Mus musculus: one gene and its partners. The protein of the gene in region 6 purifies or fractionates together with the protein of the main gene of each other region. This does not show direct contact. Links are inferred from orthologs where the notes say so. Each region holds a gene or a part of one and is shown on either strand. Other genes may lie near its edges.

Region 1 (5,060 bases), about 12 Mb from region 6:
GATTTCTGAGTTCGAGGCCAGCCTGGTCTACAAAGTGAGTTCCAGGACAGCCAGGGTTATACAGAGAAACCCTGTCTCGAAAAACCAAACAACAACAACAACAACAAAAAACTGTAACTCTAGTTCCAGGGGACTCAACACCATCACACGCACGCAGTCATACATGGAGGAGAAACACCGATGCCTATATAAGGAGAGAGAGAGAGAGAGAGATCATTAATGTAGGTGCTAATCCAATGAGTGACGTCCTTATAAGAGAGCATGGCATAGGCAGAAGTGATAAAAAGAGATTAGGATACAGGCACTCACATACAAAGATGTCCCTTTGAAGGTGGGACCTAGGTAGATGGCTATCTGCAAGCAAAGTGGAGCCTTGGATGAAAGCAGCCCTGACATCTTTATCTTCTACTCGGAGCCTCCAGTATTATGGGAAAAAACATTTCCATTGCATAAACCACTCAGCCTCTTTTATCTTGGAAAATTAACGCAACCTCTAATATATAACTTTTACACTCAACTAAGTCAGACTCTCTATTCTGCAAAAATAAAGTAATACTAAGCACCCAAGCAAACCCCACATAAAACAATCTTTTAAATGCTTTTCCAAATTTCTAGTAACTCAGTGCCTTGTGCAAGTGCTCCATCTCTGAGCTGTATACTCCCACCCGTTCTGCTATAATTCATTTTGACTTTCTTTTCTCAGAAGCTTGAAGCCTATTTCCCTCTTAATTACCCCAATTAATATCATATTCCCAATGATAAAAAGGAGAGCATCCTCCAGTTTGGTTATTAACTCTTGTTTGGTAAGTAACACATCAATACAGTAGTCTCCCTTTTGCTGGAGTTTTGCTTTCCTGTTTCAATTACCCACAGACGATATAGTTCAAAATATTAAGGACTTCCTAAACAGTTAACTCCTCAAGTTTTTAGTTGCCATCTCACTCTGAGTATCATGATGAAAATTTGCTCCATCCTGCTCTGGCCCAGCTGGATACATTTTCTAAACAACCTTATAGTATCCCAGGAGCCACACAGTCAGATCAACTGTTAAGTACGCAGTGCCTGAACTGGGTCCCCTTCAGTTAGTTAAGCCTGATGCGGAGGCTACAACGCCTCCATCAGCACACCCAAATAAGGCAGAAGAAGGCAGGGCTCCGAGAAGGGATGGATTTCATCTCTCCTTTCTTCAGGGGCAGCTTTCCTGATGACGGTTCACCGACTTGGCATGCTAAAGTCGCCCCTCGATCAGAGGGATGTCAAGCTAACTCTGGTTGTGGGGTACCCGCCAGATCGGCGAGGTGGGAAGCAGAGCTTCAAGGACCAGCGAGATGGCTGTTTGGGTCTAGCAGGCGAGGTGTGTATCCCCGACAGGCTGGAGTAAGGAGACTCGGGGAGGTGGTGTCCAGGGCACAAGCAACCTCGTCTGCCTTACGTAGGCTCACGAGCGTCCGTTTTATAACAAGCCACTGCAGAGCCCCGTGAGGCCAGGAGGACGCCGCTGCAATTAAAACCGGATCAGACCCTGGTTTCGTCACGTTTGAATTATGTAAGCTAGAGCAGGGCACCGAACCTCTCCCGAGCCTCTGGGTCGCTTCCCCAGAAGGAAGGATGACAGTCCCCGCCGCGCCGGGCGCACGCGTGTCTGCGGGCGCCTGCCATCGCGCCCTTCGGGGCGTGCGAGCCACGGCCGGAGCGCTCCGGGGCAGCCAGCGGGCGGGCGAGCTGGAGGGAGGCGGCGCCGCGAACTCGCCGCCGGTGCTGGGCCGCGCTCCCCGCGTTTGAAGTCTCCGGCGCGGCCGCTGGTTGGCCGGCGCGGGTCACGTGCGCGCAGGCAGGAGTTTCCCCGACAGCTGGAGGCTGCGTGGGATCCGGCGGCGGCGGCGGCAGCGGCGGCGGCGACGGCGGCGGCGGCGGCTGCAGCTCGCGGCGCGGCCTTCCCCGCCCCCTCGCCTCCGCGCTTCCGCCGGCCCCTCACCCCGGCGCTGACAGACCGGCGCGCGTCGGCAGCGAGCATGGGCGACAAGAAGAGCCCCACCAGGTAGGGCGCCCGCCGGCGGAGCGCCCGCGGCCCGGGGTCCCGTGGCGTGGCGTGGAGCGGCGCGGCGCGGGGCGCGCGCGTGTGTGTGGGGAGAGGGGGTGCGGCGCGGCGCGGCGGGGCGCGCGGCTGCCCACAATGGGCCGCGATGGCGGCCGGGGTCAGCGGCCGCGCTCCCCTCCCCCGCGCGGCGCCGGGCGGGGCGGGGGTCGCGGGCCGGGCGGGGCGGGGCGCGGGGCCGGGCGCGGCCTGCGGCTGACCCCGCGCTGCGTCGTGTCCGGTTGTGTCCTGCAGGCCGAAGCGGCAGCCGAAGCCCGCCTCGGATGAGGGCTACTGGGACTGCAGTGTCTGCACCTTCCGGAACAGCGCCGAGGCCTTCAAGTGCATGATGTGCGATGTGCGGAAGGGCACCTCCACCCGGTGAGTCCGGCGCGCCCGTGGATCCCCCGCGGGGCCCCCCGCGCGACGCGGGACGGCGGGGCGGCCAGCCAGGCGGCGGCCGCGGTGGGGCGCGACCCGGCTGAGCCGCGGCTGGCGGCGAGGGCTCGGTGGCGGCGGCGGTGGCGCCTGCTGCGGAGGATGAATTATCCATGGGGGTCGCCGGCCGCTGCCGTGCCGTGCCGTTCCATGCGTGGCCGGTGCGGTGCCCCCTCCCCAGCCGGGCGCAGAGACCGTGATCGCTGGTCGCATTGTGGTGTTAGTGTGCGGGGAGGGGGCGGGGACGGGGAGCCGGGGCGGGGGAGGGGACGGAGGAAAGGCCGCGATGTCACTCGGTCCCCCTGGGGAAAAAGTATCGCTTGTAGGATCGTAATGGATTAAACTTTCTTAGTAACGGATGTCCGGAAAGGGTCAGGCCAAGGTTTCGCGTCTGGGTTTTTTTTTGTTGTTGTTCTATTTCTGTAATAATTTTTTACAGTTAAGTAGTTGGTTGGGAGGTGAACCCAGCAACGCAGTTTTACTCCAGTGCCTGGATATTTTTACACAAACGAGATGACATGATCTTTGTCTGTTGCCGGCCCTGGATTTGTTGTATGGTAGGCATATAGTATTATAATTGTCTTTCCAAAAAAAAAAAAAAAAACCATTTAAAAGAGTTAAATTTAGGAAATTCGAACTCAGTAGCATTCTTGATCTGTCTCCACTTGGTCATAGTTCCCTTGGGAAGGCCGCCTTTAAATCCACTTCTACAGTGATTTGTAGCAATATTTAAGTAAGGCATTTATTTTGCTGCTATGAAGCCTATTCAAATACAAATGATTACAGAATACGGGGAATTTTCTGTTTGAAACAGAGGGCCTGTATAATTTTGACATTCTAAATAGTCAAAGTTATTTCTAAAAATGATGTATCCTGTTTTTTTTTTAAAAACTCAGTTTATAGAATTTTACTAACATTGTAAGTGTAGAGACATGTCAGGATTTTATTGTTTCTACAATACTGGTTGTTTTTGACATACCTGTCATAAATCTCAATAGGTTTTTACTACGAATTCTCATTTACATTGAATACAATATTTTTAGTATTTCTTGGTGTCTATTAAAAAGCAAGGTTTTAAATCCCTTTTAAGTTCAAGGAAAGATTCTAAAAAGAGAAACTACTTGCTATTTCTGGACTCACGTTTTAAGTGTTTTGGAAAGCACGGTGTATATGTCTATATAAGGATGGAAACGGCTTAGTGTATAATATATGTGTATTTGTAAATGAGCAATATGGAGATCATTTGACTTGGGTTTTTTTTTTTTTTTTTTTTTTTTTTGCTTTTGTTTTTACTTGTATCCTCTCATACTTTTAGACGAACACTGGATTAGAAGAGCCTATTTGTTTATTTGCAGGGACAGCAAGGATGGGGGCAAGCTGGTGTGTCCTACTCCACAGCCAGTCTTGGGGTTAGAGGAGCCCCGAGAAGTAGAGTAGGTGGTGACACTCAGAAGAGAAGCACCAGGCTGAGTCCCTGACTCCTGGAAGAAGGAGGATTGTAGCACACAGGGGAGCTGGCCCACAACAGAAGTGGGCCTGCTTTAGAGAGGCCTGAGACCCACCTGCAGGCCCCTGGCTTTTTGTTTTTGTTTTTGTTTTTGTTTTTAACCAGTAGATCCAATTTTTAGTGGTGGAAACATTACTTGAGGAGGACTCAGAGAAGCATTGTCATTTGGATTGAAACTGAAGAGGCTCTGGGCCCCTCACCAGAAGTCTAAGGGACACCGTGTTCCTAAAAGTAGGTGCTCAGAACGGTGTCCCTCTGAGCTTCTTCCTCTCTCTCTCTCTGAATTGTCTCCTTTGACTTTACCCCTAAGTGAATGGCAGGAGTTGTAACTTCTCTGTTGTCTGTTACATTTCCCTTTGCTCCCCCCCTCCCCCCCCCCCCCCCCGCCCCGAGATCTGTGTTTGGATGGATCAGTAGAACATGGTCTTGTTAATAAGTAGATGCTGGTTACATGCACAGTGTTTGGATGGATCAGTAGAACATGGCCTTGTTAATAAGTAGATGCTGGTTACATGCACAGTGTTTCCTCTTAGGAGTGACAGGAAACCAGGTGAAGGACTGGGACACAGATGGAAGGCAAGAGTTGAGTGGTCGGGGGACATTGTTCCCCCAGTTGATGTGCCTGTTGGCAGATAGGATGGAAGGAGAGCAGGGAGGGGGCAGCTGCAGCACACAGGGACACAGCTTGCTAATGACTTGTTTGTGTGACCACAGCCAGCATTTGGATCCCTTGGGTCAGAACAACCTCTGAACTGAATCTGTTCTAGCTGCCAATCACGAAGGCAAGCCTAAGCTATTCTAGATGTCTGAAGCCTTTTCTTCTTTATGTGTATGTGCACACATGTACTGTGTACTTACATACGTGTATGTGCACACATGTACTGTGTACTTACATACGTGTATGTGCACACATGTACTGTATACTTACATACGTGTATGTACACACACGCGCTGTATACTTACATACGTGTATGTACACACACGCGCTGTATACTTACATACATGTGTGTGCACACATGTAAATACATACGTGTATGTGCA
Region 2 (4,546 bases), on a different chromosome or scaffold from region 6:
GATGGATTCTTGTCTTTCATCCAGGGACTTTGTCCTGGGCTTCCCTCCCCCAGCCTTGGCTGGGTAAATGCTCTAGCTTCTCCTGGGAAGCTACCTTGCCCACGTGCTGCCTTCTCCACAGTGTCTGTCACCCGCCAGTCTTGTGTCTTCTGAGGATGGATGGCCTGACAACCCTCAAATAATCATTGGGCCTTAGGACTCTGTAGCTTAACATTTTTTAGAATATATTTTATTTTTGTTCTGTTTTTACATATTAAGTGGACACTCATGTGGAGGTCAGAGGACAACTTGCAGGAGTTTCTTTTCCTCCGTCATGTGTGTTCTGGGGAACAGACTTGGTGGTTAGGCGTCGTGACAATTGCCTTTATCACCAAACCCCTCTGCAGCATTTCACAGGTGTCCCTAGCTATCCCTCCAGTCCCTCTCAGTCTCACAGGCATCGGCAGGTGTTCCTAGATGTCTCTTATCCCTAAACAGAATTCTTGGCTGTGCTTTTTGCCCCTGTTGTTGGGGCATCTCTGCAATGCAGTCAGGCTTTGTATAGGGAAAGCAGTCATACCGAATCGCTAGTGTTCCGGTCGTCCCCTGCACCAGCTTTGGCTGTGGTGTGCACATTCACTGCCTCCTCTTGTCAGTGGATTCTGGGCATTGGGGGTTTTCTTTCTATGTTTGAGTGTTGTGCTGCATTGTCTATGTGGACTGCATGTATGCCAGCATCATCTCTCCTGGAACTGGAGTTGTAGGTGCTTGTGAGTCGCCACGTGGGCACTGAAAAGTAAACCTGGGTCCTCGGCAAGCATAGCAAGTGCTCTTAGCCACGGAGCTGGCTGTCAGGTCCCTCATGGCGGTGGTATTTGTGAGGTGAGGTGTCCTGTGCCACTGGCTGGCTGGAAAACCATTTTGTGTAGAACAGGCTGGTCTTGACTTCCTGGAGATTCGTTTCCTCCTTTCTCCTCCTGAGTGCCAGGATTAAGGGTATGTGGCATACTCCTAGGCTGTATCCTCAGCCGGGCATGTTCCAAGTGACCCCTAAACTGTTTGAGGAGATGGCTGGGTTGGCTCTAACATAGGAGGTGATAGTTAAACCTTATGTGCATGCGAAGTGTGATGGGGGCAGGTGCTGTGTCCCTGGCACTTGCTCACCAGAGGCTATTAAGAGTGTCTAGGTATTGGAAGCTTTGACACAGAGATGGCTCTGTTAACACAGAGGTGCCTGCCTTGCTGGTTTGCACTCTGGGCCCTGCCTGTAGCTTCATGGTAAAGCCTACCTAACCTTCCCTGAACCTTTCTAAATTTGTAGTTTGCTTTTGTGTTTAAATTTTTTATTTTGTATGTAACTAGTAGAATCACGCAGTGTATAATACTGAACAGCTTTTATCTGAAATTAAGGTGCAAAATGAATCCTTAGGGTGTTTTGAGGGGAGAGTGTTTTGGAAGACCTTGTGGTCTGGGTACTGGGTGTGGCTTGTTGGCCGAAGGCTTGTCTAGAGTGTGGGAGACTGTGTGTTCTATAGCAAGGCAAAGACGCATCAACAGGACTCCCATATTGGCTTGAAAGCTAGAAGGGGGCTCTAAGTGATGTCAGTCCTCAGTATGTGCCAGTTAGCAGTCATGTGGCTTGCTGGAACTTTGGGTCTGGAAGACTGGGTTTGAACCAGTCTCAGTCCCAGCAGTAGTGACATAGGAAAGACTGCTTGTGACCAGGCTTCCTCTTGTCCTGAGGAGTAGCAACCAGAGAACCCTAACCGAAGTAGCTCTTTGGTATCTGAAAGGCCAGTGTCCCTGGGGGCTTCTGCATGCTGTATTCACATGTGTGATGGTGGAATGTGAGCACACCAAGGGGAATGTGGCCCTTTTCCCAGTGTCAGGGTGCAGATGGAATGGGACCCACTTCCGGCCAGCATGGCTGTGCTCCCCAGGGCTTTGTCTGCAGCCTTTGGATCTGGCCGTGCCAGCATGGAGCTGCTACTTTACAACCTGGTTTTCCTCTGTCTCCTTGAGGCCTGGGCACCTGGCCTCCTGGATGTGCCTTTTCCTCTTCTCCCCATCTCACTTGCTGATATTTCCTTGGTCTGTTTTTCATTTTCCCATCTGTGTGTGCACACGGAGGGTGGAGCATGCATAGGCAGCCATGGGTACACAGGGCTGAGCATTTGCCAATCATGCTGTGCATGAAGGTGGGGCCTAAATGTATGGCGACGGCGACTGGGACATTTGATGCCAAAGGTAGATAGCTCCTATATGCATAGTTTTCCTTCTATTGTCAGATCCACAGAGAAGATGTGTGTACCTGAGGGTTGGGGAGCTCACTCTGCACTGTCCCTCAGATGTGCACAGGGTCTCTGTGTGTCCTGATGGATGTAGATCTCAGTGAGTAATGAGGCTGCCTGTCAGGGGGCCACCTGACCCTCCTTGGCACAGCATATCAAGAAGTGCTGTATGGAAGAGTTGAATCTGGGAGTAAGTTAGCTTTCTTCAGATTCAGTCATTTGGCAGCGTCCGTGCGGCCAGTGGGTAAGCCAGGCACAGTGCCCTCCTGCACACGCACAGCCGCAGGCTGCTGGCAGGTGCTCCCAGGCCAGTCTTGAGTCTAGCACAGCTGTGCATCTTCTCAGGGGTGGTTGTTTTGGTGCTGCGGAATAGACTGAGGTCTCCCGTGAGCTCCAGAACTTTTGCGCAGCCTTCATGCTGGTGTGGGATGTGTCAACGTGACTGGCAGGCAGTACTGGTGGGGGACGTAAAGCTCTTACTGTCTGGGGATGGGGAGGGATCCCCTGTTCCCGCCTGAGAGAGTAAGCCAAGATGCACTTCCCGTCTTGTGTGGCCTAGTGCTCCCAAAGTGTACCCACACCTTCACTGGATCCAGGTATCTCAATTCAGTTCCTGTGGGGATATCCCCAGAAGAATTTGATCACTGAAGTGCTCTGTACTTTGGGATTTACCAGAGGTCTTTTTGACTTAGAGTTATGTGTGTAGTAAGATTTTTGACATTGAGACATTGGTTGTCAGAATAGGACAGTTGTCTGTCTCCAGAATAACAGGTTTGTGTGTTAACTGAGGGAACTAAAACAGCAGACCTCTTCCCAAAGGACATCAAAAACATTGCTATAAGAGTGGTCGCCACATCAACTCTGGTAAAACTGGTTACCTGATTCCCAAGAGCCACCACCTCTGGTCAGGTGAGCTGCTGGCTGTGTGCTCCCAATGGGGTTGCCTGTCCCTTTCTTGTCCTGATGATGTTTGGATCCTGAGGTCCCTCATAGACAGTAGAAAAAGGTGTCCCCGGCAGGACAGTCAGGCACCACTCCCACTTGGGAGCTGGAAGAGGTACCTGTTGTCTGTCCTAGGGTTACAGTTCTGGAAGTCTGTCTGTCTGTCTTCTTTCTTTCTTTTGTCCGTCCTTCCTTCCTTCCATCCTCTCTCTCTCTCTCTCTCTCTCTCTCTCTCTCTTTCTTCCTTCCCTTCTGGTAACTTTTATACTTTATAGGGGCAGTTTTATCCTTGCCTAGCTCATTAAGAGGAAATAAACCAGCAATGTGTTACTGTCCTGTGATTAATCCTAGCTATCAGTAAGTTGCCTCCTTGTCACTATCGGTGTTCTTGCTGTGGGAGGCCTGCCTTGTCCTTTCCAGCCCCTAACTGTGGCCTGCTCTGTCTTCTTGAGCCTGCCTACCTGTTTGAGACGTTGATGTTCTTTTAGATGTACGGGTGTCTGAGCTGTGTGGGGTAGTGCCACAGCAGAGCAGCGTGCTTCTCTGTTGCTCTCTCACTGTGGCTGACAAGGCAGAAGGAAGCGGTGGTACTGTGATGGAGACACGTCTGATTGTTCTGAATTCTCTTTTGACTGTAGGTGATTGGCACGCCTCAGAGACCGGCAGCATCCAACACTATTGTGGTAGGAAGCCCACACACTCCCAACACGCATTTTGTGTCACAGAACCAGACGTCTGACTCCTCACCTTGGTCTGCTGGGTGAGCACCCCCACCCCAGTTTGGCAGCTGCTGAGAATGTCCCCTTTGTCCTCTGGCCATGTGTCACATGGTCTGTAGTGGGGGTCCCTGAGCAGAGAGAGCGCAGGGCTCCCATCTCACCTCTGACTGGGCCACAGAGAACACCGGTCACTAATACGACACAAACGCTTAGAAAGTGTCAGAAGATCTGATCTCTACCAGGTCCAACACCAGGGCTCTATCCCATGCATGGTCTGTCCCTCCGAGGCAGTACTGCCACTGAGACTGTAGCAGACGTGGAAGTGACTGACTCTCTTTAAAGATCACCAGTGTGTCACATTTTAAAAACTGTTGTGAAACCCTGTCTCCCTTGCTTCAATTTAAAATCATCTGTGCCCCAAACTCTGCAGAGAAACGTAGTGACTGTTCCCAGTGTGACTTAGTGAGGGCGACACAGTTGCTGTGCCTCCCGACCTGAAGCTTGCACCATGGTTCCCATTTGACACATGTCCATCAATCTAAGCATCTGCCTTATGTCATGGTAGCTTGCCAAAATTACCCCTGGAAATTCCTAAGTTTACACTAAAATGTGCCG
Region 3 (5,232 bases), on a different chromosome or scaffold from region 6:
TGTCATTTCTCTTCAGAATTAGTCTAGGAAAGCTAGCATTGAAAAATAAGAAAAGAATACTTTGTCCTATGTACTTTACACAGCGCGCAGAGAGTCACCAACCATGTGAACTGCTTTTGCTGAACTGTGACCTACGGTTGAAAGCAGTCTAGTGAATGTCAATATTGAACTACAATTAAACAGCAGATAGCTTTGGGGGCAACTTTTTGAGTTCCCAAGGCAGTAATGACAGCTCCAGAATTATTTATTTATATAAGACGAGCAGTTTGATTGGACAAGGGATCAATCCTTTGTGTGCACAGCTATTGACATGAGTTGGTTTTTTTGTTTTTTGTTTTTGACAGGGTTTCCCTGTATAGCCCTGGCTGTCTTGGAACTCACTTTGTAGACCAGGTTAACCTCGAACTCAGAAATCTGCCTGCCTCTGCCTCCCAAGTGCTGGGATTAAAGGCGTGCACCACCACTGCCTGGCTTCTGTTGCTGCTTTTTTGTTTGTTTGTTTTTTTATTTTATTTTATTATTTTTTCTGAGACAAGTTTCTTTGTGTAGCCCTGGTCGTCCTGGAATCTTGATTCAAGGAAAAGAAGGAAACAGTGTGTGTGTGTGTATGTGTCTTACTGAAAGATGCAGGCTGAGTGCTGGGCTCAAACTCCCAATCTTCTTCTTGCTTCAGCCTTTAAAAAGCTAGAATATGGAGGTGGGCCACCCTGCCCAGCTAAAAGCTTTATTTTATTCTTGATTTTATATGAATTGTATTTATTTTTAAGATTTTATTTTCATGCATATCTGTGTATTTGTTTGTGCCCTCAGAGTCGTGAAGAGGATGTTGGATTCCCTGAAACTGGAGTTACAGGCCTTGTAAGTCACCTGGTGTGGGTGCTGGGAGCTGAACTTAGGTCCTTTATAGGAACGGTACCGGGTCCTAACCATGGTCCTAAGCACGGAGACATCTGTCCAGTTCCTTCTAAGAATTATAATATTCAGCACAGTTGTTGAGTGTTATATAATGCATCACTGGATACCACAGTTCTTATATTCACTAATGTAAAACTGTCATTCTCCACATACATTAAACGCTATGTCATGGTGTGAGTTGTTTTGACCAGATTGCTGACACTGATAAGATTGTACTAGTCATTTTAGTCGTTGTAAAAAATCCACAGTAAACCCGGAAATGTTGCCCTTATTCCTTAGGTCCTGTTTTGTAGTAGTGGTATCAGAACTGTGTCAGCTTGGTGGAAGGAACTCAGAATTTTTCTACCAAGGTGAGGTGTGGAGGTGGGGGTTATCTAAATTTGGGGCCTCAGTCTCTCTGCCTTTTTTCTTCTAGTGATGCCCCCACAGTACCCCCAGGAATACTTGGTTGGAAAGCGATACCTTTAACTTATCTCCCGCCTCCTTCGTGTGGTTCCCCAGGTAGTTTCACGTTGTAAGGCCTTTTTAAAATTTAATATATATTTTTTATTTCTTGGATTTATAAATATCCCAGGAAATGAGATGACTGAATGCAAAGAATCCATATGTATCAGTATAAGGTGTGTTGCAAGACAAATTATCAAAAACTCCCTTTCAAGGTAACTCTGCGTGCTCTCTCAGGAGCTTTTAGGAGCCCCTTGCAACGTTCACGTCTAAACCCCAACAGATTTATTAACATTTGAGAAAGGATGCGGACTCTCTCTTCACTCAGGCGCATCACCAAGCGGGGGCGCGCTGGAAACCGCACTGACCGAGGTTTAGTCACAAAGCCAGAAGCACGAACCCACTTGGAGTTCCCCGCCTTCCCTTTGACGGAGGCCCCAGGAGCAGTCACGTGGAACCCCAGAGCGCTCCCCCAGCCCTGCGCAAAGACGCGACTCGGGTTGCCAGGGGGCGGAGCAGGGGCGCGGAAGGGGCGGGGCTCGGGCCGCCGGCGGGGGCGGGGCGGCGCGCGGGCGGGGCGGGGCGGCCCGGCGTATTATGGGATGCGGCGGTGGAATGGCGCTGGGCGTGATTTTGAACAAACCCGGGTCTGTGTTTCGGAGGCGCCGCCGCCGCGGCTGCTGGGAGCCCGGGGAGCGCGGCGCGAGAAGGAGGCGGCGCCGCCGGCTCGGGTGAGTGTCAGCTCCGGAGACCCGGGCTGAGCGGCGGGGACCGGCGCCGGGCCCGCGCTCGGGGCGAGCGGCGCGCGGGCGGAGAGCGCGGCGGCGGCTCCGGGCAGCCGGGCGGTGGGCCGGTGGGCCGCGGCGGACCGAGGGTTGTCGGGGCGCGGCGCGAGCGGCGGGCGCCGGAGAGCGCGGCTGTCAGTCGGCGGGCCGGCGCCGCCCGCCCCGCGCTCGGGAGGAAGGGCTGGGCGGCTGTTGACAGGCTCTCGGCGCGGCCCGGGAAGCGGCTGCCGGCCCCGGGCTTCTGGGAACCTGTTTTGCTGCTGTGTCATTTCGTACCAGCGCCTCCTTTCGCTGCTGCCCGGCGCCGCGTTCTTCCTACGCCCCTTTGTATGGACTCTTCTGGGTGTGTGTCCGTTTCCCTCGCGAAGCCCACCAGCCAAATGTCATAGTGTCCCCGCGGTGCACGGGGGAAGGGAGCGGGCTGGGACTCAGCCTGGTCAAGCAACGGTAAACAACCATCCGAGTGCCGGTGGACCCGGCTGTTGGTGGGGAATAAAGTTGAAAGATGGAGAAACTGGGAACCCCTTCCACGCTCAGCCTCTAGCGGGCTCTCGGTAGAAACGCGCCGGGAGTGGGTGGGAGACAGCCCTTGACTAAGCCTGAGCCTGCTGACTTTTATATGGAGGTGTCATTCAAACAAGGTAGGGAAATGAAATGGCTTCTGCTTCTTCCTTATTCTTAGGGAAACTTAAGACAGTAGATTAGCCTTGTCCACAACCCTGAGATTCAGCTTGCTGGTTTCTGTTAGGTCTTTAAGAGCTTATAGTATGACTGAATGATAAAGAATAAAGCTTTTGAACTGGCAATTAGTAAGGCTTTCTGAAGTCAAACAGCTAACTTTTGGAGGATGCTGGTCCTATTAAGCCTTGCAGCTTATATGTTCTTAATTCCTTACATGATTAATTACTTCTATTCCCTCTTGGGTGCTTATTAGACTACACCATGAGAGGAACTGGAAGGGGGTGGGAGATGGATAGGTTGTTCCGGAATCTTGTTCTAAAGCAAGCTGTTTTTTTCCCCCCTCTGCATTGAACAAGTGTTATCAGCAGCAGATGGTTTTTAATTTGGAAACTTAGATCCTAAAGTCAGTTGGCAAAGGGTTCTAGCGAAGAGCTGGATTTTCTATATGTTAGAAGTTGATGGTTATGAATGATAATAGAGTTGAATCAGTAATTTAAATTTAGTAGTACCTGAGTATCTTAAACCAACGACAAATTGACATAATGTTGTTCATGGGCAAAAATGGTCAAAGTTGAGAGGAAAACAGTTCAGAACTTTATTCTTAAAAATGAAGGGGAGAGGAGACCAATGTCTGCATGATCAGCGCCTGTAATTTAAGGATGTCCGAGAAGTCAGGCATGCATATAGAAATAGCCATACTGTCAACATAGTCCTATGAGTGGAGTAGAATGCCAGCGTTGGTGAGTGACGTTAAAGCTCTCCAGTGACTCTGAAATATACGTGAAACATGGTCTACCATCTCTCTCAAGTGTGTTTCTGGAAATGAAAGTTTGAGGTTTTACTGTTCTTGTGTCAGATTCCACACGGCTTGCCTTCCTAACCAACATCCAGGCCTTGGAATCCCGCAGGTATCACGATTCCCCGTGGCGTTCCTGCGGGTCTCCCGGGTGCCGAGTGTTTGGTATTGGGATGTTGGGTCTGGCATGACCCGCCGGTGAGCCCTAGAACCTCTCCCTCCCCCCTGAGTGCGTTTGAAGGTTGGCGGGGCGGACGGGAGGTTTCCCCGGATATGTGGGTGTGCGCTGCTCCGGAGGGCGGGCCGGGGCGGGAGCAGGAGGAAGGGGGAGGTGACTGGCGGCGGTGGCGGCGGCGGCTGGGGCTCGGCTGTCGGGGGAAGCTGCTGAGCTGTGATGGTGATGACGAGGTGAAAATGGCGGATCTTTCGAAATACAATCCCGGCCTCTGACATACCAGAGGCGGCGGCCGCGGCGACATCGCCACCCCGGCTCCCTCCTGGGTCCCCGGGTACCCTATAGCGCTCCATTTCGTGCAAACTGGGAAAGGAAGCAGCTGGACAGAGCTACGGTGCACAGGCAAAACAAGCACTGCCCGGGCTCGAAATTGCCCGGGACCTCTGGAGCCCGCTCGGAGCCGGAGGGTGGAGAAAGCGGCAGCCTCTGGAGGTAGAGGAGAAGGGGGGTACCCGAGGGTTCTCTGTTTGCAGAGCTCATTTTTGGGAGTTGGGGGAGGAAATGCGTTGGGAATCTAGAATGACTTGTCCGGAGGAGTGCAAAGAATCTGTAGCCTTGTAATGACATCAACGTTTTGTTATTATTATTGTTGTTATTATTATTATTTTGACTATCGAGAGGACTGAGTTTGCTTATACCTAAGGCTGCTACAGAGGCCTAGAGGAACCGCTAGTACTTACCATGATTTCCTGATAGAATACTTAAAATACCCACTCAGTGGGGCTTGGCTGATGGTGTCCAGCAGTTAGGGAGTTGTGTTTCTTTGGGGAGGCACAACATTGGTATTTTCTTCTACATTTAATGTCGGTGACAGGACATAGTCTGGAACTTGTTGGGGTGTGGGTCCTCATCTATTTTTGAACATATGGACCAGTTTTGTGGTTATCAAAAATTTTTTATATGGCTTTGTCATCTTTGGGGTGGCACCTTTGATCCTGCCACTTGGCAAATAACAGTTGATACTGTAAATCATATTTTCTGTTCATTTTTAAATGGAATTTCTTCTATGTCCCCACCTAATTTCATGAATTCAGAGAATGAAGTTATGGGAGATTTTATAATAGGCTGTATACTACGAGTGAAATTCTGTTTGGGAGCACGGTTCTGCTTATGAATTTGCCTTCACTGTCAGAGATGTGATGATTGGATGAAAGCTTTGAGTGTATATAGCTGATAAAGACAATTAGAATCTGTTATGTGACAAATGTTGCTTCCTTGTTCAGGTACCTAGAGCACTGTTACTTACCTTCATTGTAAGACTTGAGTGACCTTATAATGGCCCCAGCTTACTTTAGTCATCTGATGATCCATACTGGTTTAGATTGTTATAGGGTCCTAGGTAGTCTCCCTGCATCCAACAGGAAAGGGTTACATGG
Region 4 (4,473 bases), on a different chromosome or scaffold from region 6:
TTCAAGGACAGCCAGGGCTACACAGACAAACCCTGCCTTGGAAAAAAGAAAAGAAAAGAAAAAAAAAAAAGAAAGAAATAGTCCTCCTAGCTTGATTTGATTGGTGGTTAACCTGGAGTTGGAAACTGTTTTGTTAATAACTCTAGTGACATTTCTAAGCAGGGGAAGAATTAAAATGGTGTTCAAGTGAAATGATGATGTAGAAGGGTCAATATTTAAGTTCTTGGTGTTGATCGTTGTTTTGGGTTGTATTTGGAATGGAGGCACTCCCATGTTACCAATCCAGTGAATTGTTTTGAGAACCATTTCTTTTTGCTAAAGTATTCTTTTGGTGGTTTGGGATCTAGGCATCTAAATCTGTGTTAAGGTAGGAGGCGTAGTCTCGTGGTTGTTTTTTTTGTTGTTGTTGTTTTTTTGTTGTTGACATTGCAACCTTTTTTGTTTGTTTGTTGTTTTTTTGTCGCGTCCCACTCGATCACCAAGCAAAAAAAACGCAACCATGGGTTCTTCTTAAAGCAGTTTACTCAGGCAGCTACTTTCTTCAAATCCCCCAGCCTCTCTGGTTACAAGTGTTTTTCTCCATTCCAGCCCTACCAATCTCCACAGGTCACATCACCTCACCAGGCAGGTTTGCTCAGCCAATCAGGGATTAAGGGCGGGCCATCCACCAAACATGGGCTTGTTTACTACCTGGAGCAGACCTCCATCCTGCTGACCAGGAAGTCCGGAATGGCTCCCTACAGTTTTTGTTTGGTCTTACTGTATTGATCTTAGAGTTCCATTTTCCCTTCTAACTAGCAGTTAATTGGGTGAACAAAATCAAGATGTGTTTCTGCCTCAGGACAAGAATTAGCTTAGCAAGCTGGTTTTTGGATGGTGGCCTGTGCCCATAATCACAGCTCTTATGAAACACAAGACAAGAATTTTGTGAGTTGGAGGCTAACCATGGCCTCCATAGGAAGATCCTGATTCTGTCCAATCCTAGGGCTGGTAATGTACTTGCTTATACTTTGTATAGGCAAGTTCCTGGGTTCAGTCTCCTCCACTGCTCTCCCAGTCCAAAAAAAGAAAAGAGTTATTTTGTAGAGATTTTCTAAAAATGTAATTAAGTGGAACTATTGCTAATAATGAAATACCTAAGTGTCTTGACTAGATTTTACTTGACTTATTGCTATTTCAGCTGTTATTCTGTTATTTTGTCCTTTTTTTCTTTTTCCCTCCCTCCCTTCCTTCCTTCCTTCCTTCCTTCCTTCCTTCCTTCCTTCCTTCCTTCCTTCCTTCCTTCCTTTCTTTCTTTCTTTCTTTCTTTCTTTTTTTTTTTTTTCCAGAGCTGAGGACCAAACCCAGGGCCTTGCGCTTGCAGGCAAGAGCTCTACCACTGAGCTATAGCCCCAACCCCTCAGCTGTTATTCTGACAAAAGTGGACTAAGATAGACTGGGAAGGAGAGAGAGAAAAAGAGATTTTCATTACTGCATCTAATGAACTCTCTCTTTAATTTTTGATTTTCAGAGAATGATGACTTATTTATGATGCCACGAATTGTCAATGTGACATCATTGGCTGCAGAGGAAGATTTGGGAGGTATGAGTGGCAACAAATACCGTCACGAAGTTCCTGATGGCAAGCCACTTGACCACCTGAGAGACATTGCTGGGAGTGAAGCCAGCTCCTTAAAAGATACAGAGAGAATCTCTTCCAGAGGAAACCATCGAGATAGCAGAAAGGCACTGGGTCCAACACAGGTGCTTTTGGCAAATAAAGATTCTGGGTTTCCACATGTAGCTGATGTTTCCACTATGCAGGCAGCACAGGAATTTATACCTAAAAATATGTCTGGTGATGTGAGAGGGCATCGGTATAAATGGAAGGAGTGTGAGTTGAGAGGAGAGAGACTAAAGTCAAAGGAGTCTCAGTTTCATAAATTAAAGATGAAAGATCTGAAGGACTCAAGCATAGAGATGGAACTGAGGAAAGTAGCCTCGGCTATCGAGGAAGCAGCCCTCCATCCCAGTGAGCTGCTGACTAACATGGAAGATGAGGATGACACTGATGAGACTCTGACTTCACTGCTCAATGAAATTGCTTTTCTTAATCAACAGCTAAATGATGACTCTGGCCTAGCTGAACTGTCAGGTTCTATGGATACAGAATTCTCAGGAGATGCTCAGCGAGCTTTTATCAGTAAACTTGCTCCTGGGAACAGATCAGCTTTCCAAGTTGGACACTTGGGAGCAGGTGTGAAAGAGTTGCCTGATGTCCAAGAGGAGAGTGAATCCATCAGCCCCCTCCTCTTGCACTTGGAAGATGATGACTTTTCTGAGAATGAAAAACAGCTTGGGGACACAGCCTCTGAGCCAGATGTCCTTAAGATTGTTATTGACCCTGAAATAAAGGATTCTCTTGTTTCCCATAGGAAATCTAGTGATGGAGGGCAGAGTACTTCTGGTCTCCCCGCAGAGCCTGAAAGTGTATCTTCACCTCCCATCTTACACATGAAGACTGGCCCGGAGAACAGCAACACAGATACTTTGTGGAGGCCTATGCCAAAGTTGGCCCCATTAGGTTTAAAAGTAGCTAATCCCCCCAGTGATGCCGATGGTCAGAGTCTCAAGGTGATGCCTGCCTTGGCACCTATAGCTGCCAAAGTTGGGTCAATTGGACACAAAATGAATTTAGCAGGAATTGACCAGGAAGGCCGGGGGAGCAAGGTGATGCCTACATTGGCACCTGTTGTACCTAAATTGGGCAACTCTGGAGCTCCATCAAGTTCATCAGGGAAATGAGCTTGTTCATCCTCATACAAAAGCCAGGCTGTGAGGGGAAATGAATTTCACCTCCTTTCTCTGTAGGCGTCTGTTTGTTTGTATTATGGAACTATTATCCTTGACTTAATTATGTGTGAATATTGATGGAGAAAGGAGGTGTAGGGTGCTGGTCCTGGTGTTTGAAATTCTGATCATGTTAAAAATGTGTTACCTCACTTGTGGTGCTGGGTCCCCTCATCTTCTCTAAGAAGGTGTGATTCCCTCTTGCCCAAGGAATTCATAACAAGATTCTGGCTCCATCAACTACCTTATTATTTTCCCCTGAGAAAATGCTTGAGACTTGGAATTACTATAGACTAAAGTATAAGTCATAGTTGTTGGCTCCAAAATCTGAGAATTATGATACAGTTGTGTGGGAAAAAAAAAAAAAAAGAACTTTTAGTTACTATTTCAATAGTAGGGCATGGTAGGACTGGGCATGGTAGTGCACACTTGTAATTCCAGCACTTAGAAGACTAAAGCAGAAGGATTGCAAGTTTGTGTCTACCCTGGCCTATCAAGGGGACAGACACACACACACACATACACACTTGTGGGGGCCAGGGGAGTAGGAAGAGAGAATGTTATAGTAGGTAGGATGAATATTATGGAATACCAAAGTGAAGGGATTTTGTCATTCAGCAGACTGTTTCATATCCAGAATAGTTCTTCCCTTACCCTTTCAGTCATAATTAAAAACCTAAGCTTTCTGGTAAAGTAGGAATATACTTTTTACTTTTACTATTAACATACTTATTTTCAGAGACTAAAAAAGACATACTTCTCCCTTATTTCTTGGGGTATCACAAAGATTCATTCATAATACCAGAGATTTCTACTCATTGTTTTTTGGAAGTAGACATAGAGGCAGCCCTTCCCTTTCCCAAATCATGTCACTCAAGAAACAGCTAAAATGAAAAGCAGTTTCTCCCCTAACCAGAGACCGTAGCCAAAATAAAAATTTGTGGGGCTGGGTATTTCCCAAATGAAACCAGCCTCTAGGTGCTTGAAGGTTTTGTTCACTGTCACCTGCACAGGATGTAAAGAAAAGGCGAGTCAGAGTGAGCAATCTTTACCAGGGAAGTAAGGCAGTATTTGAGTCACAAAGTATATTTTTTATCTGCTATCATGGCATCAATGATCTGTAGAGCTTTTTCACTCATTGGCTGTCAGGGTATGAAGGACTGACAACCTGTAAAGATGAAGATATTTATATTTTTGTATAGTTGTTTTCATAGATTTCTCAAAGGATGAAGTTTTCGACCTAGAAGAGATTTGTATTGAGTATAGAAATGTTTCCTATCTAGTTTGTAAATAATCATGGTGCATTTGAGGGGTCTCTCGGGAACTCGTGAGGCAAGAATCACTGTTCTGAAAATGTATAGACTGAGATGTAGCTGCTGCATTTGCCTTTCTTAAATAATTATATTTTGGAATGTAACCCGTTCTGTCTTCAATGACAGGATTTGCTTGTGTTGTAAAAACACTTTAACACAAGTGCTTCCGGTGCCTGGGCTGTGCCTGGGTGATTGTATTTCTTTTACACTACTGCGTCTTTATCCTAAGTCCCACTCTGTATCCTCTGACCTAGGTTGTGAGACCAACTTTGGAATGAATCTAGCCAGTGAATTACTTCTATGTTTGATTTCCTTTTTAGATTAACTCTGA
Region 5 (5,318 bases), on a different chromosome or scaffold from region 6:
CTTCAAAACAAGCCGTTCCAACCCTTGCCCCCTAACCCTCATCAAGTCCTGCAGCAGACCTTAGAACTAGAGACTTGGGGAGGGGGGAAAGAAGTTGCTTTGTTGTTGTTGTTTTGGTAGGACAGGTTCAAAAGAAAACAACCAAGTCCATAGTATTAAGACTAATAGGACCCAGGCAGGGTGGTGACACATTTAGTCCCAGCTGATTAAATCCCATTTAATCCAGGAACCTGAGGTGGACCGATCTCCCTGAGTTCCAAGACAGCTTAGATGCCTTTCCCTCTCTCTCAAGAGAGAGAGAGAGAGAGAGAGAGAGAGAGAGAGAGAGAGAGAGAGAGAGAATAATAGCTGAAAAACAAAACAAAAAAGGAATTTGACTTTCCGTGGAAGTAAGTATGTGTAATGCTTCATTAGGAAATAAAACATTATCTTCCACGAGGCTCTCAGAACAATCCTTAAGACCTCTGAGATTACTGCACTCAATCAACCAGCACTCAATAAATAAGGTTTTCTTAGTGTTCAGGCAAGCTGTACAATCTCTAACGAAGCACACATACAACTGAAGAACCTGCTTTTAGCCTGTGAATAGTAAGGTCCTACATCAGAGCTATCATTTGGCATCCTACAAACTTGTTCCCTAGAAAAAGAGACAAAGGTAGAGAGTTCTTGTTCGTGTGAGGCAGAATCTCATGCTGTAGCCCAGGCTGGAACTCATTCTATATCCCAGGCTGGCTTAAAATTCAGGGAAGACTCCTGCCAAAGCCTCAGAAGCCCTGGGCTTACATACTGGGCCACAAGCCTGGACTCTGTGTTGTGTATGTTAAGGCAGGGTCTCAGTAAATTGCTCGAACGTTTGATCCTCCTACCTCAGCCTCCCCAGTAACTGGGTTTACCGACCAGAACCACCAAGCCTAGTTGCATCCTGCAAACTCTACAAGTTCCTAAACAGCTGTGTCATATATCGTTTAAAAATCAGGTAACTAGAAGGTAGAGAGATAGCTCAGTGGGTAAAGGCACTGAGGTCAAACCTGATGACCCTAAATTCAATCCCCAGACCCATGTGTTTGAGAGAGAGAACTGAATCCAAGTGGTTCTTATGACCTTCACATGTGAGCCATCACATACACGTGACCACACAACACTCACACACACATACATACATACATACACACATACATACATACACACACACACACACACACACACACACACACACACACGTTAAGTAAATGTAATTAAAAAAATCAATTAAATAGGCTGAGGTTGAAGCTCCATGGCAGAGGGGTTGCACAGCATGCGAGGGCCCTGGGTTCGAATCCTAGCACAGTCAAAAGTTAAATGCACATAAACACACCCAAAAAAGTAATAATCTGTGTTTCAAGTATTTTAACATTTCTCATAAACTTTGAGGTTCCAGGGATAGGGCTCAGCCCTGAAGGAAACAAAAAGATCTGGCAGCACCGGGCAGCACCGATCACTCTCAGGTAGCAAGCAGCAGGGGCAGGTGGCTACGGACTTTTTAGAAGGGGTGTACATCCTCACCTCTTCCTTCCACCCTTGACTAGCTGTTACCTGGTCCTCACGGGTAATGAGGACCTCACTCCATTCTCTTTCCCTACCATTTCCAACCATCAAATATTCCATCTCTCTCTCTCTCCTCTGGTTGTATTCTGAGTCTATTCCTTCTCTCCTCTCTCTCTCTAATCTATGCCTATTTACTCCTAAGTCTCAGACTCCAGACAAGAAAGCATGGGGTCAACCCAAAGCCAGAAACACCTACAAAAAAACCCCATTAATATAAAAAAATCTAATAAGTTACTGATAACATTATATGGATGCATCCATCACCTTTCAGCAAAGCTGTCTCTAACAGTGCCACTCTTCAACATTTTTTTTCTTCTCAAATGGAAAGTCAAGACCACAAAAAGCTGTGCCACTTTCAATATTTAACTTCTAGCGCCTCTCTTTTTTCCATTGTCGTTTTTTGGGGAATATCATGCTTTTCTAGATCCTAGGAGTCTGCAGTAGTCACATGACCTTGGCTAAAGGCGATTATTACATGTGCCTGCAACTTCACACAACTATGGAGATACTGCTTAAAGTTTACCTGCTCCTAAATAAAACCTAGCCAGTTTGCTCTGAAATAACACTACCATTCACTTCAGAATGCCCTTCCATTTCTCACATATCTCCGCCGCACTGAACACTACAGAACAACTCAGTTCACAGCACAGGCCTCCTCACTTGCCTGCCTACCTACCTACCTACTCACTAGAATCTACCACCTGAATATCAAGAATCATGTGGATTTGCAACGCCCCCCTCCTCCAACCCCAACAGACTCAACCTCACCTTAGCGGTTAAGAGGAGTTTACAAGAGTATTAAAAGTAATAGAACGATCTCTTTTTCTGACTCCAAAAAGAACCAAAACTGAACGGAAATGAAAATGAAATGGAGAGTAGGAGACGTACCGCAGATTGAAACCTCGGTTGCTCTTCCTGGAATAAGAGAGAGAGAAAAATAGAAAATACAGAAGTTATTTTCACACTTCGAATTCAATAATAAGAAAGAAAATGCCGGCGGCGGAGGAAGCAGCGGGTGGGGAGTCAGTCTGACACCCCTCCCTCCCTCTTTCCCCTTCCACTCTCTCCAGCGAGATCCCGTAGCCTAGTTGGGGGGGGGGGGGGGGGGGGTTTCAGGCACTGCCCCTCCTTCTGGGATCCGAACCGGACAAGAGGGATCCGGAACACTGCCTGCTCTCCCTCGATCCCTCTAGGGCGTCAGAGCACTCCCAGCCCCTTCACCCCAAGGATCAACCGGTCACAGGAGGAGGGAGCTCATGGACCCAAAGAGCAAGAGCTGAGCGCTGGTCTCCTTGCCCAGGATCCGGAAGGATAATGGGATCCCCAGCCGGGCAGAGCGGAGAGGGAGGCCTCGACACCCTCCTCCACGGGAGAATGTGGGGGTCCCAGAGGCCGCGTGTCTGCTCCCACCTTCAGTCCCAGGAGGCCTCTCCGGACAGGACTGGAGGGGAGCGAGCCTGGAGCGCGACGCAGGCGGTCCCGGCCCCGGGGGGAGGGGGAGAAAAGGACGGAGGCGGCGGCGACCCGACCCCCTCCCGCCGTCGCCCGGCTGAGAACCCTTGCCGCTGTCCCCGCCTGACAACCCGAACGGAAAGGAAGAAGCCCCAGGACTCACGTCGCTCTCCACCTCGATGTCATCGTTATCGCTCATTTCCTACGGCCCAGGGAGCGGCCACTGCAGCGGCGGCCGGGGAGGGGAGGGGTGGAGGGAAGGGGGAAGTCACCGACAACAACAAGCCGAGTGCCCCCACGCACACACTCACTCACTCGCTCACTCACTCACACACACTCACGCACACACAACACGGGCGACAACCACCTCACTGCAGCACCGGATCAACGGCGGCACGCACGCCCGATCGGCCCCCTAACACGTGACCGGGCTCACCGCGCCGGGGTAGCTGAGACTTGTAGTCCTCGAGCGTCGGATGGGCGAGTGAGAGAGAGCCAGAGAAACTACAAATCCCATCAGGAACCGCACACAGGCTTCGCCAGACTCGCTTGTTGACAGAGCTCAGGGCGCCTGCGCCCCGGGTGTTGGCAGCGAGAAGTGGCGCGGTGCCTCCCGGGAGATGTAGTCCACAGACCGCGAGTTGTCAGGAGATTTTCCTCCCCAGGCGGCGGAGAGGCTGCTGGGAAGACAGGACACGTGGAGGGAGCTGGGCTCCTGGAGCCGGCCACAATTCCGAGCTCTGGGCGCCCGGCCCAAGGGATTGGGTGGAGGCTCGGGGGTTTGGGGGCGGGGGGAGAGAAACTGGCTGCCAAAATAACACTGTCTCTTCTTGGCTAGACTGCTTTTACATTGTCTCGTTTAATGCTTGAGTCGCTCCACTTGCGCCCTGGGGCGTAACCCTCCCGGGAAGGAATCACGCTGTGGCTGACCAGGGGGCGCGGTCGAGATGCCCACGCGGGCCCTCTGTTATCTGGGTTTAAGGTGTTAAGAGACATTACGGGACAAACTAAAGGACCGATTTCGCCGGGTGTCCTTCATCTCAAGAATCTTGCTTTCATTTGTCCGAGAGAACTGTCCTTGCTGGGCTTGAGTGTTTACAAAACCTCTCGTAGGTGCAAGTAAAACCTACCTTCTGTTTGTTGTAGCCGGAGCAGATTAGGGAGTGCCCCAGTTTATAGAGAACTTTAATTAACTGCAAAAAGAATCAAAACGGGAAAGTTGTGCAGCTCCCTGTCCAGTTAAGGTCATACATAATGCAACGAGGTATGAAGTGTAACTACATTGTCCCCACCCGCATTTAGCTAAGTATCTAATATGTGGCAGCCCAGGAATGGCATGATGTGTCCCCTCAAAGACTTCACAGCTTTGAAAGCAAAAACCGGACTACCCTGTCACCATTTTCAGTGTGCACCAGGTCCTCAATGAAACAACAAACAAACAAACAAACAAACAAACAGTAATAATAAGGTCATCTGAGAAATTAACCAGACTACCACTTTACAATTGATCTTCAAAATGAGTGCGGTCTTGAGTTTGATTTATGAGTTAATGTTTTTTGAGTAAAAAATCATTTAACCCCTGACTATTGAGTGCAGAAACTTGGTGGTGTAATACAATCTTTCTGACACCTAGCCCAGGCTGGCCTTAAATGTCCGTGTGGCCAAGCCTAGTGATGAGAACACAGTCATAAGCAGACACTGACTCGTAATAGAAGTCAAGGGCTGTAAGGGAGACAAAGATGGTAAGAGGGTTTTTTGTTTGTTTGTTTGGTTGGTTGGTTGGTTTTTCGAGACAGGGTTTCTCTGTGTAGCCCTGGCTGTCCTGGAACTCACTCTGTAGACCAGGCTGGCCTCATCTCTGCCTCCCAAGTGCTGGGATTAAAGGCATTTGCCACCACTGCCTGGATAAGATAGTAAGAGTTAACTGGATACCAGAAGTAGAGACAATGGATGATCACCGCAAACCCTCCTTATATATCTACCTGCAATGTGCAATGTGCAGAGTGCATCCTTAGCTGCAAGTTAGTTTTTTGGGGGATTAAAAAAATATATCTCATGCCTGTTCCATGCCCCTCCTCAATGAAGTCAAAGCCTTTGGGAGGTGGGTAGGATCAGTAAAAGACAGTTTTTAATGATCTTCAGGTGGTTCGTATGTGCAACCTAGAGGATGCCAGGATAAAGGCAAGCTTTCACTGAATTATATACTTTGAAAGAGTGGGCTTTATGATTGATATGTTAATAATTATGCATCAACAAAGCTGTTATAAAAATAATCTTCGCTC
Region 6 (5,210 bases):
CTCTGTGAGTTTGAGGCCAGCCTGGTCTAGGACAGCCAAGGCTACACAAAGAAATCATGGCATGAAAAACCAATATACGGGGCTGGTGAGATGGCTCAGTGGGTAAGGGCACCCGACTGCTCTTCCGAAGGTCCGAAGTTCAAATCCCAGCAACCACATGGTGGCTCACAACCACCCGTAATGAGATCTGATGCCCCCTTCTGGTGTATCTGAAGACAACTACAGTGTACTTACATATAATAAATAAATAAATCTTAAAAAAAAAAAAAAAAAAAAAAAGAAAAACCAATATACGGCGGTTAAGAGCACTGACTGATCTTTGGAAGGTCCTGAGTTCAAATCCCAGCAACCACATAGGGGCTCACAACCATCCATAATGAGATCTGATGCCCTCTATCCTCTTCTGGTGCGTCTGAAGACATCTACAGTGTACTTAGATATAATAATAAATAAATAAATCTAAAAACCAACATATATATATACACACACACACACACATATCTATATACATATCTATATCTCTATCTATCTATCTATATATGTATATATTCATTTAAAACATCTAGGAGACTAGGTATAAGAGGCTAGGTATTGTGGTACACACCATTAATCCTAGAACCCTGAGCTTGAAACAAGTCTGGTCTACACAGCAAGTTCCAGGTCAGCTCAGACCGCACGGTAGACCCCAACACCCCCACCTCTCTCTTCACTCTCTTTTTTCTTTTTGTTTGTTTGTTTCTTTCTTTTTTCTTTTTCTTTTTTTTTTGAAACAGGGTTTCCCTCAGTAGCCCTGGCTGTCCTGGAACTAGCTCTGTAGACCATGTTAACCTAGAATGCAGTGATCTGCCTGCCTCTGCCTCCCAAGTGTTGCGATTAAAAGTTTGCACCACCACCCTCTGGCTAGTAGATCCTCTTAAAAAAAAAAAAAAAAAAAAAAAAGAAGAAGAACAAGAAGAAAGAAAAAGGCAGGTGTGGTAGTGAACGCCTTTATTCCCAGCACTCAGGAAGCAGAGGCAGACAGATCTATGTGAGTTTGAGGCCAGCCTGGTCTACAAAACAAGTTCTCCAAAAAACAAAACAAGAAAAGAAAGAAAAGAGGACGGGAGAAATGTCTCAGCGGGTAAGAGCACTGACTGCTCTTCCGGAGGTCCTGAGTTCAAATCCCAGCAACCAGATGGTCGCTGCTCGCAACCACCTATAATGAGATATGACGCCCTCTTCTGATGCATCTGAAGTCAGCTACAGTGTACTTATGTATGATAATAAATAAATCTTTGGGCCGAGGCAAGCAGGGACTGAGCAAGCAAGGGTGACTGCAGAGAGTGGGGTTGACCAGAGAAAGCAGAGGTCCTAAAATTCCCAAAAACCACATGAAGGCTCACAACCATCTATCTGTACAGCTATAGTGTTCTCACATAAATAAATAAATAAACAAACAAACAAATAAGAAAAAAGAATGGACTGTTTCCTCCAATGACCATCTGTACAGCTATAGTGTACTCACATAAATAAATAAACAAACAAATAAGAAAAGAGAATGGACTGTTTCCTCCAATGACCACATGGCTAAGTGCAAGCTGTGGTTGGTTTGAGCCTCTGCTCAGCACCAAGACCCCTCATACTGGTAGCTTGGGTACAGAGCAAAATTCCAATTTCAAAGAACAGCATCTATTGAAAAGATACTGTTTCCACACCACTATCAGGTCAAAAAACGCTGCCAGGGATCAGAGATCTACACAATAATGTGGAAATATCCTAAGCACCTCAAAAAATTTTTACTGGGCTAGAAGGCATTTGAAACTCTTTCTTCCCTCTTCTGTATATGTACATCCAAATGATCTCAACTCAGAAACAAATTTAAGACTGCCAGGCCCTCTTGCTGCTGCCTAGACCACTGCTCCTTGCAATGTATCCAATAAACCTGTTTTCTTCCTTAAAGGAAAACAGGGAAAAGAAAAAAAGACTGAGAAAATTGAGACCCAGGCTATCCCAAGGAGGCTTTGAGTCAGATGACTAATTGTATGGTGGTATGGACCACAGCCGTGAGTTGAGCTCTGATTGAAATCAGCTACTGATCCTGGGGCAAGTCACTTAAGGTCTGTGGGACAATTTTCTCATCCACGACAGCTGTTGGCTCACAGAATGTGAGGTAGCGATGAAATGCTACATAAAAACGTACCTAGCTTGTAATAGGAAAAAACGTGCCTAGCTTGTTGGGCAAGACAGAGGTAAAGAGAATGACGCTTTGGGCCAAGGTTCAAATACGATCTCTAGTGCTTCCTAGCTGTACGATGCACAGCGAGTCAAATGCACTGCCTCGGTTTCCACCAAATAAAGACAACACCACTATTTAATAATATTTTGGGAAGGGATGATAAACGTAAAACACTCAACAGTGCTCAATAAAGCTTAGCAATTATTACCGCTAGGAAACGGCAAGAGACTTCAAATGCAAGGTGCGGTGGGTCACCGGCTGCGGTACCACGGAAAAAGCGTAACGCAGTTTTGGAAACTGACGTACTTGGTGACAACCTCTTGCACTTTGCAGCTGTGTCGACCCAGAGGGCTGTTTTAATCCCTCCCTAAAGAAGATGGCTGTGAGCGTACGGGGAGACCAGCACGTGAACGCTCCCAGCGTGGAGTAGGAATCAACTCCGATCTTCCTCCCTTCACTTCCCGCGTGGAAGGGACAGGCCGCACGATCCTAAAGCTCAGAACCATGAAACCAAGACAAAGTTCAGAGCCCAGTTTCCCTGCCCCTGGCTAGGGAGGCGTTGCCATCCTTCCTTCGTCACCAGACCAAAAGGAACCTCGGGGGCCTCTGGCCGAGGCTAAGCTCCGTACCTCAGTTTACCAATCCTGCAACTGTCCACCACTAAGACATCGCTAAAACGGCGCGTCCGCCGAGCGAGGCGTTTGGGGCTCCCCTTCCCGCTTGGGCTGAGCCCTTTCCCTCTTACCTCAGTGCCCCGCGGTTTCTCCATGATACCAAATTCAATTCCCTCAACCGTCACCAGGTGCAGGAAGCCATATTGCCCTCGCCGCTCTCCGAGAGTGTGCTCATTGGCTGCTGCGCCCGAGCTGCGGGCCAATCATGCCGCAGGAAATAGGAAGCCGGTTCCGCGCTCGCCCGCGCCCCGCCTCCATTAAGGAGGGGCTGGGTAGCCGTGAGGATTAGGGGAGTTGTAGTTTTCTCCTGGGTGCACGAAAAGGGTCGTTGCCTTAGTAATGCGAAATCTCCTGAAGGGTACTTCTAGGGTTTTGTTGTTGTTTTTTCAGAGACAGGGTTTCTCTGTATAGTCCTGGCTGTCCTAGAACTCACTCTGTAGACCAGGCTGGCCTCGAACTCAGAAATCCGCCTGCCTCTGCCTCCCAAGTGCTGGGATTAAAGGCATGCGCCACCACGCCCGGCGGGTTTTTTTGTTTTTTGTTTTTGTCCTTTCTTAGTCAAATTTCAAACCATCTGAGCACAAGGGATTGGACGTGCCAGCCCCCCCCCCACACACACAAAAATTCGCACTCTCCCCAGGGGCCCCAGACAAAAATTCACACTCTCCCCAGGTAGGAAGTAAAGGTGCTCTTGGACAGGAATGCCTAGCAGAAATGCCTAATCCCTCTTTCAATTCAGACAGGAACAGGAATATTCTTAAACTCTATGTCCGTCTGCTCGCTGGGGCTTATGAGATGGTTTAGTAGGTGAAGGATCTTGTTCCATGAGCCTTTCTACCTGAGTTCAAATCTCTGAGCCACAACATAAACCTGGAAGTCAAAAAGCTACTCACAAAGTTGTCCTGACCTTTGTGTCACGCACATAAAACAAACACACAAGCTAAATAAATAAATGGGGAAAAAAAAGCCTTGGACTGGAGAAATGGTTCAGTGGTTACTGGCCACTTTTCCAGAGGTACCAGGTTTGATTCCCAGAACCCAGAACAACTCACAAAATTCTATAAACCCAGTTATAGTGGATCCTACTTTCTCTTCTGGCCTCTGATGACGCCAAGCACTAACATGGTCCATACATATGCATTCAGCAAAACCCCCATATCCACAAATAAATTATACGGATAGATGTTATAACCTTAAATCTAGGAGAGATGACTCAGCCTGTAAGTGAGTACAGCCAGAGCATGGAAAGCTGAGTTTTGCCCCCCAGTGCATGACAGAGCATGCCTGTGATCCCAGCACTAGGTAAGCAGACACAGAAGGATTCCCATGGCCTGCTGACCAGCCAGCAGCGATACAGTGGATAGCAAGAGATTGAAGAAGACACCTGAAGTCAACGCTTTTGCCAACTGGAGTATACATGTGGATTGAGTCCCCTATAGAACTACTCCTTCCCATCCTGGGTTCTCAGGAATTGTATGGCCTTACAAGCATCTAAAGTTCAGACAGGTCTGGATTAGTTTACTTATCCTACGTGAGGGCTCCCAGACCCACTCCCAGCTCCCTGCCTCTCTGCGTTGCTTTTTATTTTTAAATTTTTATTTATTTACTTTTTTAATGTGTTATAGGAGTTTTGCTTGCACGTATGACTGTGCACCATATGTGTGGCCAGTGCCAACAAAAGCCAGAAAAGGGTGTGGGATATCATGGAACTGGAGTAACACGGTGGTTATGAGCTGCCATGAAAGTGCTGGGACCGAACCTGGTTCTCTGAAAGAGCAGCCAATGAGCTTAAAAACTGAGCCCTCTCTCCAGCTTGTTTTTATTGTTTCTATTGTTTTGATTTTTTTTTTTTTTTTGAGACAGGTTCTCTGTAGCTGGATTGGCCTTGGACTCAAAGAGATCCTCCTGCCTCTGCCTTCCAAGTGAGTGCTGGAATTAAAGTCAGGCATCTTCATTCCTGAGTTTGTTACTGTTTTTTTTTCCCCCTTTAAAGCTTTTGAATACAGTCTGTGCCACCCTCATCTTCCTCCCTGTGGAGCCGTTGACTGGAGTGTGGTTGACCTACCAGGAGCCACACCTTAAAGAAAACTGACTCTCCCCCCAAAGTCTGTCTACTGCCCTAGTGCCTCATCTAGGGGGAGGAACTCACAACCCCCTTCCCACCCTGTGCTGGGTGTTGACTGACCTCATCTGGTGAACTCAGGACCTTCGGAAGAGCAGTCAGTGCTCTTAACCACTGAGCCATCTCTCCAGCCCCTAAACCCTTCTCTTGTCTCAGATTCCTAGCAGCTGGACTTGGAGAGATGACTCATCAGTAAACA

What was found.
Region 1: the proteins of L3mbtl2 (region 6) and Yaf2 purify together in Homo sapiens (affinity purification with mass spectrometry; 5 studies listed by BioGRID and IntAct, counting the BioPlex papers as one, with this or other methods). This does not show direct contact. The link is inferred for Mus musculus from reciprocal best matches to the Homo sapiens genes L3MBTL2 and YAF2.
Region 2: the proteins of L3mbtl2 (region 6) and Tfdp1 purify together in Homo sapiens (affinity purification with mass spectrometry; 4 studies listed by BioGRID and IntAct, counting the BioPlex papers as one, with this or other methods). This does not show direct contact. The link is inferred for Mus musculus from reciprocal best matches to the Homo sapiens genes L3MBTL2 and TFDP1.
Region 3: the proteins of L3mbtl2 (region 6) and Lin54 purify together in Homo sapiens (affinity purification with mass spectrometry; 3 studies listed by BioGRID and IntAct, counting the BioPlex papers as one, with this or other methods). This does not show direct contact. The link is inferred for Mus musculus from reciprocal best matches to the Homo sapiens genes L3MBTL2 and LIN54.
Region 4: the proteins of L3mbtl2 (region 6) and Mga purify together in Homo sapiens (affinity purification with mass spectrometry; 3 studies listed by BioGRID and IntAct, counting the BioPlex papers as one, with this or other methods). This does not show direct contact. The link is inferred for Mus musculus from reciprocal best matches to the Homo sapiens genes L3MBTL2 and MGA.
Region 5: the proteins of L3mbtl2 (region 6) and Max purify together in Homo sapiens (affinity purification with mass spectrometry; 6 studies listed by BioGRID and IntAct, with this or other methods). This does not show direct contact. The link is inferred for Mus musculus from reciprocal best matches to the Homo sapiens genes L3MBTL2 and MAX.

Annotation. Positions count from the first base shown.
Region 1 is NC_000081.6:93,333,735-93,338,794, reverse strand, and holds the start of Yaf2 (YY1-associated factor 2), read left to right. Parts: upstream 1-1,859; 5' UTR 1,860-2,012; coding exon 2,013-2,038; intron 2,039-2,329; coding exon 2,330-2,455; intron 2,456-5,060. UniProt on the Homo sapiens protein: Binds to MYC and inhibits MYC-mediated transactivation. Also binds to MYCN and enhances MYCN-dependent transcriptional activation. Increases calpain 2-mediated proteolysis of YY1 in vitro.
Region 2 is NC_000074.6:13,365,609-13,370,154, forward strand, and holds part of Tfdp1 (transcription factor Dp-1), read left to right. Parts: intron 1-3,850; coding exon 3,851-3,972; intron 3,973-4,546. UniProt on the Homo sapiens protein: Can stimulate E2F-dependent transcription.
Region 3 is NC_000071.6:100,497,359-100,502,590, reverse strand, and holds the start of Lin54 (protein lin-54 homolog), read left to right. Parts: upstream 1-1,951; 5' UTR 1,952-2,090; intron 2,091-2,429; exon of another isoform or gene 2,430-2,763; coding exon of another isoform or gene 2,764-2,785; intron 2,786-2,835; exon of another isoform or gene 2,836-4,288; intron 4,289-5,232. UniProt on the Homo sapiens protein: Component of the DREAM complex, a multiprotein complex that can both act as a transcription activator or repressor depending on the context. In G0 phase, the complex binds to more than 800 promoters and is required for repression of E2F target genes.
Region 4 is NC_000068.7:119,962,182-119,966,654, forward strand, and holds part of Mga (MAX gene-associated protein), read left to right. Parts: intron 1-1,510; coding exon 1,511-2,784; 3' UTR 2,785-4,473. UniProt on the Homo sapiens protein: Functions as a dual-specificity transcription factor, regulating the expression of both MAX-network and T-box family target genes. Functions as a repressor or an activator.
Region 5 is NC_000078.6:76,958,791-76,964,108, forward strand, and holds the start of Max (protein max), read right to left. Parts: upstream 3,459-5,318; 5' UTR 3,236-3,458; coding exon 3,200-3,235; intron 3,190-3,199; exon of another isoform or gene 2,995-3,189; intron 2,500-2,994; coding exon of another isoform or gene 2,473-2,499; intron 1-2,472. UniProt on the Homo sapiens protein: Transcription regulator. Forms a sequence-specific DNA-binding protein complex with MYC or MAD which recognizes the core sequence 5'-CAC[GA]TG-3'. The MYC:MAX complex is a transcriptional activator, whereas the MAD:MAX complex is a repressor.
Region 6 is NC_000081.6:81,661,775-81,666,984, reverse strand, and holds the start of L3mbtl2 (lethal(3)malignant brain tumor-like protein 2), read right to left. Parts: upstream 3,097-5,210; 5' UTR 2,985-3,096; coding exon 2,961-2,984; intron 1-2,960. UniProt on the Homo sapiens protein: Putative Polycomb group (PcG) protein. PcG proteins maintain the transcriptionally repressive state of genes, probably via a modification of chromatin, rendering it heritably changed in its expressibility.